3 linked regions of the Xenopus tropicalis genome follow. The protein of the gene in region 1 interacts with the protein of each later gene in a pairwise test. Links are inferred from orthologs where the notes say so. Each region holds a gene or a part of one and is shown on either strand. Other genes may lie near its edges.

Region 1 (4,425 bases):
CTTTTGCAAACAAATCTTTTTTTTTTTTTTTTTACTAAAAGATTCCTACTAGCTGTTAGGTTGCCTTGGGTTATTAGATCTGGGAACTTTTACTACATTGTTGAGTAAACACCAGCAAAACACCAATGACTACTATATTTTGCTGCTATTTTCGGATTAACTACTCGCAGAATATTTATAAAATGCTATAGTTTACATAGTGTAACTATATGTTTACATTTCTACACATTTTCTAGGTGTTTTTTTTTTTTTTTAAATTTAAAAATAAGAAACAAGACAAATCTATTGCACACAAAAAAAAGACTAAAAGAAATTTTAAAAAAAATGAGAGAAAATTTGGATTTTCTAAATCCAATCCTTTTGTTATAACACGTTGCTGCAGACCTAAACAGAGTAGGAAAATACAGGCTAATTCCTAATAAATGTAAAATCCACCATCAAAACTGCTTTCGCATCGCCAGACCTCAGGATAGCACAAACGACACCAACGCAGATTGTCAATGTGGGAATAAGTCATTTGTATATATAAATTACTTTCCCTGTGGTCTTCGCAAAGATGGGAAAACACTGAGGTAATGTAGTTAAAGTCCCAAAGTTTGCGGCATGTCTAATTACCCCAAGCAGGTTGTATCTGTGAACCACCTGTTTAAAAGCTTACACCTGACTGGTGGCAATGGGTTACTAGACCAAATACAAGGTTTGCAACTTTTACTACATACGATACACTCCCAGCAGGAAAGCATGTTCAGCGTGTCAGAACTGCAACATTTGGGCATCTAATCGTAGTGTTTAGGTAGCAAGCAGGATGTTACTGCAGATCGCATTATGTTTACTATTATCCCCACTGGGGAGGCAAATTTACTATTTATGCTTTGCAGCTGAGTGTTATTATCCTTTTCGCTTAAATACACCGGCAGAGGAAATCTACTGTGAAAACTCTTTGAACCACATTGGTCAGAGTCGAGGAAACACATTTTGCTGATGAATTGACATTTGAGAAACGGCATTAACCCCACTGCTTGGAAATTCAGCTGTAATGGTGAATAAACGGCTTAGCTTAGCATCAGGTTAGCAGTTGTGTTTTTGGGACAGTAAACATTATGATGGGTTTAATGACACCACAAAATAAACTGGGTTTTAATTAACGATAGCCCATTGGGTTGAAGGGAAGAACGTTATAAATATCACCTATTTAATATTATGCAGGTTAAGAAAAGTGCTTGTGGTCACCAGTAATACAAATAGCATACCATGCCTGATTCCCTGCATGAAATCACTACACACCACTCAATATGCTGGTGATCTGCTCACTAATCAAAGGCAATGAAATCGGACATATCATACATACATGACATAAGCCTGTAGAATATAGGGAAAATGTTAAAAGTTCAATATTGAACCCACCATAAACAGAATCTTTAAAACAGGGGTAATACAGTTTGACCTGCAGCACTCTTGCACAGGTTGAACTACGGCTTTTTCAGCACACATACACAAGCAAAGGCTTTCAGGGGGAGCTAGATGGTGCAGGCCAACAACAGATGGAGAGCTGAAGGTCAAAGTCTGCTGATCTATGATGTGTGACAAAATCCAGCAGGCAAGCTATAGAAGTGTCACCCTACCAGCCCTGCTAGGGTCTGTTAATATGAATGAATCTCTACCAACACACATTGCAATGCTGCTACATAACGGCACCAAACTGAATGGCTTTTTTTACGTCTCAACACTTCACTGCCAACGCACACATTGTTATTTAGGATTCACTGGCATTATAAATACTGTGAGACGGCTTTGCCAACACGAAACCCTGACCAAAGCTAAGAAGCCGCCTGGTGCTGCTGCTAAATATGCTGAGTAGTGCTTGCAGGCAGCAGTGACGGGGGGCAGCCCCACTGTGCTCAGCACAACCAACTCAGCAAAGCAGCTTCACCTTGTGCTACCCTGCTGCCTGGATAAGTCGCTCATTGACTCTCCGGCCTCATAAAAGCCGCTGTGAATGGCACCTTGGGCTGCCCTGATACCCACAACTGCACATTGTTACCCAGCACCACTCGTGGGTTAAAGGCAATATAATAATTATGACAGCTGCCCCTCTCTCTCTATAAGCACAGCACAGCAAGAGCCAAGCTGGGCTCAGCCTGCTACTCCCATAACCCCACACTGACACCCGGGAACCGCACGGAACAGGAATGTCTCCCCGCGCTGTAACAATGCAGCTCCTGTGCGAAATCCGGACAGCACTCAGGCCGGAAATATTTATATAGGACTACAAATCCCAGCATCCCTCAACATCTGAGGACCAAAGTGTCACACATGCTAAGGTGGTTGCAGTTTGACATTCTTAGCCAGGTGTCAGCTGTACCAAACCTGCAGGGACCCCCCCCCCCAGCCAATGGACTCACCTCCCGTGCACTTTCAATTCCTCCTTCTTTCACTCGATCTTCTTCTTTATTTGTAGCATTCCCAGCGGACCGCAAAGGGACCCATCACATGGCAGCGACTGCTGCTGCTGCTTTTTTTCTGTTGTTGTTGTTGTTCCCAGGAGCCAAGGAGAGCTTCTCAATCACGATCCACCCCCACCGCCTTGCAAAGAGGAAGGCTTTCCGAGGGGAGACGGAGCTGCTACCGCTGCAGCCCTTGTTTGTGGCTGATGTGTGTGTTTGTGTGCCTGTGCAGTTGTCAGTCCGGGCTGTGCCACAGATGCTCTGAATGTACGGGCTCAGCTTAATGACCTAGGGTTGCACTGTAGTACAAGCATGGCCACTCGCCTGTGTGTATTTGTGTATCTCCCAGAGTGTGTGACTGCCCCTTTCTCCCTCCTGATTGCCAGGCAGCGTGTGTGACTGCCGTGTGTTTGTTGCTCTCTGAAGGGCCCGCCCACCCCTCTGCCTCCTTCTCTGCCTCCCTGCTTGTTTATTGGCTGTCCAAATCGGCTCGGAGACTCGTTACTGACATCTACTGTGAGCTCCTGAGGCGCAGTGTCACATATCCTGTTGTATTGTGACTCATTGCACAATGGAGGCATTGTTTACAACTGTGAGCTAGTAATATTGATTCACCCCTTCCTTCATGGGAATGTAATGGGTGCTCTCAGCACTCTACTCCATTTACTTGCTCTGGCTTGCAAATAAAATATTTCATTTCAACTGACACCGACACTATTACGTGCACCGAATAGTTTTATTTATACACTTGGAAAAAGTGTGCTTAGTTGCACTTAATAAAGCGACTTTTTTTTTCTCTGCTGCCTGTAAACTTGTAAATATATATATATATATATAACTGCACATAAAGGGTCTTGTACCCATGTCATTTAATGGATGCACCATTCTGTTGTATAGTGTTGCAGGATATGTTGGCACTTTTTGTGCTCATTATGTAGCTTAATACAGTATAGAAAAATGGCTACCTGCTATCTATTTTTTTGATTTTTACAAATAAATAAATGAAAGTCTTTGCTCAAGATAGATATTAGTATGTAGATTTCAGACATTCATATAGTCCAAATTTATAACATAATGTACATTTGAGCAAGGAAGCAACTTACATTCAGAAGAGTGAATAATGCAGCACTGCTCAGCTCTGAGAAAATGCTTGTTGAAATGTGCGAAATGCATTAGTTCCCTACATGTTCATGTACTGTTTTTGACACCATGTGAATAAAGCTTTGATTTCATGAAATATGTAGCGGTGTTTTACAGATAGTTGGTGTGGACGGAATTCCAACTGCTTTAATGTACCTGAGAAACTGACTTGCCAAGCATGGGCATGTCTCATGTCAGAAATATGTCACTGCATACCACAATATACAGCAAGTGTCATTTTTGACTTTTGGCATATGTGTGGGGAAAACTGTATTGTACACAACCCCCTCAGCACATTTGCCTCTGCCTTGTATTTTGTTTATATTTTTCACAAGTTTAGGTTTTGCAATTTGCATTTTTCCTTTTGCAAAGAGTGGATGTATGCTTATTAACTTTTAAAGTTTTTCTTTTAAAATCATCCAAAAATGAAACATCAGATTTATGTAATAATATGTAGCAGTTTAATATTTACCACATCAATAACACTTTTATGACAGTCAGGAACACTTTTCCAGGCAGTTAATTCTTTTAACAAACTGACACAATTATCAATGCAGATACATGTCAATTTGGCAGAAAATGTTTGTGCATTGCAGTCAGTATTGGACTGGCCCACCAGGATACCAGGAAAACTCCCGGTGGGTCCAGCTGTAAGTGGGCCCTCCTGCTCCTGACCATTTGGCCTACTTCATGGCCATTACCTATTTTTAAATTGGAACAAAGATGAGAAACAAATGGAAAGATAGATGCTAGCATGTAAATAAAGGGACTTGGAGAATTAAGTGTCTGAGTGAGGAAAGGAGGAAAAATAATTCATTTGGCGTGTTAGCATTAAAAATTA
Region 2 (4,592 bases), about 71 Mb from region 1:
ATAATAAAAAATGAAGACCAATTGCAAATTGTCTATATTATTGTTTATATTATTGTCTAATATTACTCTCTGTGTCATACTAAAGCTGAACAACCCCTTAAATGTAACAGCTCAGATCCAAGCTAGGTCTAATGGGCTAAAATTCTATATAATCTGTATATGCTAATATTATTCTATATACTGTATATACTCGAGTATAAACCTAGTTTTTCAGCACCCAAAATGTGCTGAAAAAGTCACCCTCGGCTTATACTTGAGTTGGGTGCCATGGGTCTCTCTAGACTAGCACCCTCTCTCCTTTGTGTGCAAATTAGGCCCCCCGCAACCAGACCCTCCAGTGCCCTGGCCTAGGCTCCCTGTAGCAATACTTATTTCCCCTTACATCTCCTCCGGGACTGGGTCTGCTGCCAGTTTGCCAATGTGCAATGATAGTGGGGTAGTACTCATATTGTTTTTGTTGACCCTCTTTAACACTTACAGAGCTAGTTTACTGTTTTTCTTTTAAATAAATATTTAAAGACATATACCCCACTGATGCCTCAATTAATGTAATTTACTGGTTTTTATTTTGATTATTGAAACTTAGCAGTAGCTAAGTCAATAAGTTTTTCCAGTTTTCTTAGGTAAAATTAGGTACCTCGGCTTATATTTGGATTGGCTTATACTCAAGTGGTATTCTGTATATTATGTATAAAGGTATATTGGTTAGTCCCTAAGCTGAGGTAAATGACAGCAGTCCAGAGCAGGTGCTGGGACATAGCAGGGAATTACTGGGGGCATCTTCAGAGGCACAGATCTTAACTTCTAAAGGGTTCTTGCCGCCTTGGACTGGTACAACATAAGGTGTAACATATCTATGTCAATTCTTTGTTGGGTTTTAGTTTTCCTTCACTTTAGCAGATTCTCTTGCTTTCCCATGGGGCCACAGTCACACCATCTAAAAAGAAGATCTGGCCTGCTGCCATTGATTGGATGGTGGGTAGGGCTGCCATGTTTCCTGGGGACAAGATACCAACATTGCTATGTCTGTTGTCTTTTCTTTCCTATTTGGCAGGAAGGGTCGGCTTGACTGACTGGTAAAATACTGGCCAGTTGGCAACCCTAGTGAGAGATCTAATGATGACAGACTGTGATCTTCTGCCCACCTACCCATCTGACTAAATCATACAATATTCACCTATAAGGTCTATAGACTGGTTATGCTTTTTAAATGCTCAAAATTAACAATTATTTCCTTTTTTAATTCCTAAAAAGAGAATCTTAGACAACCCACTTTCAGAACTGAGTATTAAATCTTTCCTCTGTGTTGTGGTTGAACTCCATTAGTAAGAGCTCAAGAGCTTAGCAGTAAACAAACTCGAATGAGCTGAAAAGGAAGTGGCTTGTTCATCAGAAACACTTGCGGCAGAGCTCACACTTACTCACTGGGTGCAGTCGCAGCCCTTTACTTACACATGAAACCTGCCTATAGGAGAGGATCATTGAATGTCTGTGCAGAATCCAATTAGCTGGCATCTCCCCCAAGCCTGGCATGAAGGTTGTAGACTTGGCTCTGGGCATCCTGATGGTCAAATGCATCTTTGTGTGGTTGTCACAATGTTTGGGTGGTACAGTGACAATGCCAAGAGATTGCAGTGTTTGGTCAAACTGCTTTATACTTTTCACAGTTCTAGAAATACATGTATGGGGCCTTTTATCCGGAAACCCATTATCCAAAAACCTCCACATTACGGGAAGACCATCTCCCATAAACTCCATTATAATTGAATAATTTTTATTTATTTATTCAATTTTTCTCAGTAATAATAAAACAGTACCTGTACTTGATCCCAACTAAGATATAATTACCCCTTATTGGGGGCAGAACAGTCCTATTGGGTTTATTTAATGGTTAAATGATTCCCTTTTCTCTGTAATAATAAAACAGTACCTGTACTTGATCCCAACTAAGATATAATTACCCCTTATTGGGGGCAGAACAGCCCTATTGGGTTTATTTCATGGTTAAATGATTCCCTTTTCTCTGTAATAATAAAACAGTACCTGTACTTGATCCCAACTAAGATATAATTACCCCTTTTTGGGGGCCAAACAATCCTGTTGGGATTATTTCATGTTTAGATCTTTTTTTAGCGGGCATGGTGTTCCAAATAAAGGAAATGCACCTATAAATGCTGCCTATACCCACTTTACACTCTCCTCTCTCTCTTTCAGAGCTCAGATACCAGCGACAGGAAGGTTCGCAGGAGAGAAAAGAACAGAGTTGCTGCCCAGAGAAGCCGGAAAAAACAAACACAGAAAGCTGACAAACTGCATGAGGTACAGTACAAGGGTTGGAAACCCATCATCCTTTTAGATATTGCTGAACTACAGGTCCAGCAGCCATCTATAGGGGAGCAGGTTGCTTGCTTTTGCAATGGTTCTTCCTTGCATACCTTAAGTGGAGGGGTTTACTAGGAAATTGATATGGTTTGGTTGGAATGGGGTATGGCTGGTTGAAAGTAGGCATAGTATATTTGAATCACAACCGCAAATATCTCCCAATTTAAACTGGGAATAACGGGATGCAGTGGTCCCAACTGACCCAATATAATCTAGATTCCAGTGGGATAGGAGGTTTGTGGGCTGTGCAAGAGTGGAGCACAAGCACATGGTGGACGGGACTTGGAAATATTTTTTTGTTGCTTTTGAAACAGATGTCTTTGAATTCAAAGGAAAGCTAAAAATAACAATTAGAAGTTTGCTCTAGTTCTAGTAACCCACAGCAACCAATATATGACCTGTATTTATAGTAAATTGAGCCATCTGGTTGCTGTGGGTCAGGCCCAGACTGGCAATCTGTGGATTCTGGCAAATGCCAGAGGGGCTGTAAGGTGCCACAGTCACTATTTATTGGGCTGCTGGGGGCTGTTTGTACCTCTGTGTAATTGAAATGGGTCCCAGTGCTGACCTGCTGTGGGTAACAGGAACTGGAGGAAACACAAATTGTATTCTCCTTCTACTCTTAAGGTCCCCATACACGGGCCGATTATAGCTGCCGATATCGGTCCCTTGGACCAATTCGGCAGCTTATCGGCCTGTGTAGTGGCAGAACCGAGGGGCCTGGCCGACCGATATCTGGCCTGAAATTGGTTGTTCGTTGATGCGGCCCCCGATCCGACTGCCCCATTGCCGCGTGTAGAATTCACCTACATGCCTCCCCGATATCGCCCACCTGTAGGTGGGGATATCGGGTGAAGATCTGCCCATGTATGGCCAGCTTTACAGCCATACAACCAGTAATCTGTCATTTTATTTTCATGATAGTTCCCCATTAAGCCTTAATACAGGTGAGGGAGTAGCCCATACACAAGATGACGTTTCCCATACATCAGCAGTGACAGATCCTAAAAGGACCACTTTCTCTCTAATGAACATTGTTTCTCTCATTTGACAGGAATATGAATGTTTGGAACAGGAAAACTCATCCTTGAAGAAGGAAATCGGGAAACTAACAGATGAACTGAAACATCTTAGCCAAATTCTGAAGGACCATGAGCAAATATGCCCGTTTCTGCACTGCCCAGTGAACTATGTGACGGTGCCCCGAGTGACAGATGCTGTTCCTGGCTGTTTGCCGCGGTGACTTCCTGGCTGTGAATGTCATTTCCTCTTTGACCTACGGCCACATTTTCTGCTGTATCCTGAAGCCAACAGAATCCCCCCCCCCCCCCCCCCGGTGCATGACGCCATAAACACCTCTGTGATTGTTACTGCAGGGAAAAGACAAATATGATGGAATCGACAACTTACCTATCACTGTTCCATGTCCTGTAAACCAAGATGGCTCCTGGAAATGAGAACTTGACCTCCTGGTTTCTACTGCTGCTTTGTCTAAGGAAGGCCAAGCGCTACACCCCCTTGTTCTACATGAGCGCAATGAATAGGGCTTGTGCTGAACATACTTTTGGATTATTGTTTTTTTTATCAGAAGAAATCTATGATTTTTGTTATTTCTCAAGCTAAATAAGGAAACTAAAGCTGCTCTATGTTTGTTACTTGCAAGAATGTTATTACCAGTATTCAACCCCCTCCCTTCCCCTTTGTTGTGACTGTTCTGTTAGGAGCAGCCTATTATGCAGGGAGATTATCTGTGCACTGGAATCGAATTATCTACTTCTATCTACTATTTATGCACCAAACATGGAGCAGCGTCAGTTTCCCTGTTTTCTCAAGAAACATCAAATAACATAGATTTTTCTTAGTTAAATTAATAAACAAAAATTATGTTTAGCCCCCTATTCATTTGTTTATTTTATTTCCCCTACTTTCTAACTCAATATAATTAATCCTTATTGGGGGCAAAACAATCCTGTTGGGATTAATTGTTAAATGATTTTTTAGTATTTATCAGTTTTAGAGTGTGTGAATTTGAGTTTGTTTTTCTAAATTGAATAAACTTGCTTATGGAATGCTCGCTTATTTATTAATGAGGTAAGCGTGTGTGAAAAAAACTCTAATACCTCGAATTTCTGAGTTTACAAACTCAAATAAAACTTGAATATCTTGGCAGCTCCCATTGACTTCTATAGAAACTCACAAGCTTTTCGATG
Region 3 (4,647 bases), on another chromosome or scaffold:
TGGACATGCTTTGGACATGCCTTGCTGCAAGTGGTTGCTGGGCCTTCTTATCCCTCCCAGCAGGGCCGGATTTGTCTTCTGGGCGCCCCTAGGCCACCCCCGTTGACCCCCCCCCCCCCCAACGCGCATGCGCGAACGAGTGAACAACCACCTGCGAGCACGCATACGCACACATTTAAAGTCCCATAAGATGTTCCCACCGCTCCGAATGGAAAAAAACTTTAAAAACCCTGTTGCGGGGGGCGTGCCGCCCCTACATTTCTGCCGCCCTAGGCCCAGGCCTTTATGGCTTCTCCACAAATCCGGGCCTGCCTCCCAGTCAAGTTATGGTACAGCTTTTGGATGTCCCCATACGTCTGCAGGACAGGAAGAGCAGCCTAGAGAAAATGAGATTTTCTTACTGGTAAATCCTTTTCTTGGATTTACTGTCAGTGCAGTAAGCCCCCCCCTTATCTCCTTTAGAGTAGTTGGCCTATGGGGTACCTGGCTATGCTGCCATGGTTATACAGTTGCTTAAAATTTTTGTTTTGTTCTTCCTTTTCCATCTAGTTATCCTTCAACAGTTTTTTTATGTACTCTTTCTTATCCTATCCTGTGTTTTTTGTTTTTTTTAAATACAGCCTCATCGCAGGTGAGCCACCTGCACCTGGAGAGAGCTCCTAGCGCACGCAGCCATGTTATTTAGTGCACATTAATAGCTGTGACAAGTAGCTGCTACTAAGTAGCTCCATGTGTCTTCACCCTTAGAGTTGTTAAACTAGGAGTATCTCACGGTTCCACTGTTAATAAAAAGACCCATTTGGATTCCTGGAAAACTACCCATTTGAAAATATATGAATAAACCTCACGCTCCAGGTATACTCTCTTTACAAATTGAACTATCCTCCAATGTGGGAAAAAAAGTAAGAACTTATTATCCCAATGGACTAAATACAAAATATCCTGGTTAGGACGAAGATGTTTATTTTACCAAAACTATATTTTTTTCACTCCCTACTTATTCCAGTACCTAAGACTGGGCTCATTACTTCACAAAAACTTTTAAACAGGTTCATATGGAATCATGGCTACCCTTGTGTTTTGGGTGCCATTTTATGTAAACATAAGAAAAGTGATGGTTTAAATTTTCTCAGTTCATTAAAATATTATCAGGCAGCTCAAATATCTCCTATAACTGTATTACGTTTCCGATTAACACAATTTTTTTGTGGTTAAAATCACAATATGCCAAAAATTTAGAGTAACCACGATAATTTCTGATGTTCGAAAATTATTTTATCGGTCGTACGAAAATATTATGGTTCGTTTTGAAAGTCACAAAATTTTCGGATCTGAACGTTCAGAAATGGCCCAAAAACCTTTCTGGCTTTGAAACCTTCAATGCATGATTTTGAAAGCCTTCCCAACTTGGCCAAAAGATAGTCACGATACCAAAGCTTGAATAAATTCCGAAATGATTGCAGTCTTTACGAAAAATACGACTTTCTTGTGGAAGTTAACGAAAACCACGAAAAAGTTGTGACATTTTAATGAAATTATCGTGGACATTACGAAAAGTTCAATAAATTAGAAAAAATACAATTTTTTCTCAAAAATAAAAATTGTGGTTTAATGAATGGGCCCCTAAGTGTAAGGGATTTCAGTTTTATCCATTTGCCTTCCATGACAAGCAGGCCCTAGAGCCTAGACCCTCAAAGTTTGTTTGTAAACATCCTGTAACTAGGATGAAACACAGTAGTAGTCACTGCAGACTATGAAATATTTCATTTCCAGTAACATGTAATATTTGATGGTATCCTTTAGCCAAACCTTAAACCATGTGACCAGCCTAAGAAAGTCTTGCTCAGCTGCAGCATCTGACTTCAGATCTCCCCTAATGTTGCTTCCTCCTTCCACTTTGGTCCAAATTTCATCCATGAAGTTAAGGATGGATATAAGGCTAAGATATTAATGCTAAACCTCACGTTAGGAAGCATTTTAATAAATATAGATGTTTTCAAAAGAACCCAGGATACTTCCCATAGTAATAGGGTTACAATGCTTACCAACAAAACCAAACCTTCTTTTAGGTAGTTAAATGTTATACTTATCTATTTCTTATCTAAAACTTTTGTCCTTTCTTCATCTTTATGACAATTACAACCTGAACTGCATCTTTGTTTTATAATATTTATTTGAATTTCTGCTCTTTCAAAACATTCCCTTATCTTTAGAATTGTCATCCGACAGACTTCCGGTAAAAAAAATCTTCCACGTTCAGCTACTCCCCTTCCTGTGATATCACATTGTCCAATAAGCACAGATCAGACCTGTGCTGGCTCCCACCTCTTTAAAGCCACAAGCTCCTCTGCCGGGGAACACAGAAATGTGGTTCCAGTGGTACAAATGTATTTTCCCAGTGTATCTTCAGGAGGCAGTTGCTAAACCCATTAGCTGTTGCTAAGTGGCAATCCTATCCCTAGAATAAATATTGTTTGCTGGTCATAAATTCCTGCAAACGCTTCTTTATTTCATCCTGGGCAACGGAGTTACTAATCCTGTAGCCTGCCTCCTTGCTTAGCTGTCCATCTGTCACCCTGCCCTCCTCTAATTCTGATTGGATGTGCTGCCAGAACCTGTGTGAGTGACATGATGCACACTGGGTTCTCCGTTAGCTGAATGGAAACGTTTTCTCCCCCTCCTTCCCCTCCCTGTTGGATAACAGAAAAGGTATGCTTTTTTTTTTCATTTTCTGCAGTCACAGTAGAAATATGAGACATGGGCTCTGTACAGGGAAAATTATTTTTGCACAGCAGCTGTCAGTTGTGTGGGCTCTGAGTTTAGGAACAAAAAAGAGAGAATATTCATTGAAACGCCTGGAGCGGAAAAGGGAATGCAAATTTTTTTGGAGGGGGGTGGGGCATGGTATTCTTTCATCTATATGACAATTACAGGCTGAACTGCATGTTTGATTCATAAGCCCCATTTGCCCTGTTCCAAGGCGTATGGGTCCAGGGGCACTGGAGACAAGCAAGGCTTATTTACAGATGGGAAGGCACACATTGTGTTGTGTTTCCTTTCATCCTGGCATCCTGGGCAATTCAGCTACTGATCATGCAGCCTGCCTCCTTGCTTAGCAGTCCATCTTCTGCCCCGCCCCCTCTGCTTGTGATTGGATGTGCTGCCAGGCACTGTGTGAGTGACATGCCCCACACTGGTTCTCTGTCGGCTGAATGGAACCACTTGCTCCCCCTTCTCCCTCCTTCCCCCTCCCTGTTGGATAGCAGAAAAGGTATGCTTTTTCATCTTCTGCAGTCACAGTGGAAATATGCAATGTGCGCCCTGTATGGGGAAAAGGGTTGCTAACAGAAATTCATAGACTCTCAGCAGGTGCAGAGACTATATTCTCTTGCCTTATAAATGTATTCATTAAATGCAGGCTTCTGGGCTTTTGCCTTATAAATGGATTGAATGTATTCTGCCTGGAGAGCTGTTTTCTGTGCCTCTTTTATTCTTCCCATCTCTAATGTGTACAACTGGGAGTTCTCGGCCTCTCTTGATTAACTGGCTATGCAGGTACTGATAACATGGTGTGAAACTAAGTTTAATACTATATTTGGCGCATATACAGTGGTGTGAAAAACTATTTGCCCCCTTCCTGATTTCTTATTCTTTTGCATGTTTGTCACACAAAATGTTTCTGATCATCAAACACATTTAACTATTAGTCAAAGATAACACAAGTAAACACAAAATGCAGTTTTTAAATGAGGGTTTTTATTATTTAGGGAGAAAACCTACATGGCCCTGTGTGAAAAAGTAATTGCCCCCTGAACCTAATAACTGGTTGGGCCACCCTTAGCAGCAATAACTGCAATCAAGCGTTTGCGATAACTTGCAACAAGTCTTTTACAGCGCTCTGGAGGAATTTTGGCCCACTCATCTTTGCAGAATTGTTGTAATTCAGCTTTATTTGAGGGTTTTCTAGCATGAACCGCCTTTTTAAGGTCATGCCACAACATCTCAATAGGATTCAGGTCAGGACTTTGACTAGGCCACTCCAAAGTCTTCATTTTGTTTTTCTTCAGCCATTCAGAGGTGGATTTGCTGGTGTGTTTTGGGTCATTGTCCTGCTGCAGCACCCAAGATCGCTTCAGCTTGAGTTGACGAACAGATGGCCGGACATTCTCCTTCATGATTTTTTGGTAGACAGTAGAATTCATGGTTCCATCTATCACAGCAAGCCTTCCAGGTCCTGAAGCAGCAAAACAACCCCAGACCATCACACTACCACCACCATATTTTACTGTTGGTATGATGTTCTTTTTCTGAAATGCTGTGTTACTTTTACGCCAGATGTAACGGGACACGCACCTTCCAAAAAGTTCAACTTTTGTCTCGTCGGTCCACAAGGTATTTTCCCAAAAGTCTTGGCAATCATTGAGATGTTTTTTAGCAAAATTGAGATGAGCCTTAATGTTCTTTTTGCTTAAAAGTGGTTTGCGCCTTGGAAATCTGCCATGCAGGCCATTTTTGCCCAGTCTCTTTCTTATGGTGGAATCGTGAACACTGACCTTAATTGAGGCAAGTGAGGCCTGCAGTTCTTTAGATGTTGTCCTGGGGTCTTTTGTGGCCTCTCGGATGAGTTGTCTCTGCGCTCTTGGGGTA

What was found.
Region 2: the proteins of bach2 (region 1) and batf3 interact in binary tests that used the Homo sapiens proteins (3 or more experiments, as listed by UniProt). The link is inferred for Xenopus tropicalis from reciprocal best matches to the Homo sapiens genes BACH2 and BATF3.
Region 3: the proteins of bach2 (region 1) and mafg interact in binary tests that used the Homo sapiens proteins (3 or more experiments, as listed by UniProt). The link is inferred for Xenopus tropicalis from reciprocal best matches to the Homo sapiens genes BACH2 and MAFG.

Annotation. Positions count from the first base shown.
Region 1 is NC_030681.2:85,092,297-85,096,721, reverse strand, and holds the start of bach2 (transcription regulator protein BACH2), read right to left. Parts: upstream 2,876-4,425; 5' UTR 2,403-2,875; intron 1-2,402. UniProt on the Homo sapiens protein: Transcriptional regulator that acts as a repressor or activator. Binds to Maf recognition elements (MARE). Plays an important role in coordinating transcription activation and repression by MAFK.
Region 2 is NC_030681.2:14,411,422-14,416,013, forward strand, and holds the start of batf3 (basic leucine zipper transcriptional factor ATF-like 3), read left to right. Parts: upstream 1-1,531; coding exon 1,532-1,587; intron 1,588-2,156; coding exon 2,157-2,319; intron 2,320-3,436; coding exon 3,437-3,625; 3' UTR 3,626-4,592. UniProt on the Homo sapiens protein: AP-1 family transcription factor that controls the differentiation of CD8(+) thymic conventional dendritic cells in the immune system.
Region 3 is NC_030686.2:27,981,807-27,986,453, reverse strand, and holds the start of mafg (transcription factor MafG), read left to right. Parts: upstream 1-1,582; 5' UTR 1,583-2,658; coding exon 2,659-2,709; intron 2,710-4,647. UniProt on the Homo sapiens protein: Since they lack a putative transactivation domain, the small Mafs behave as transcriptional repressors when they dimerize among themselves.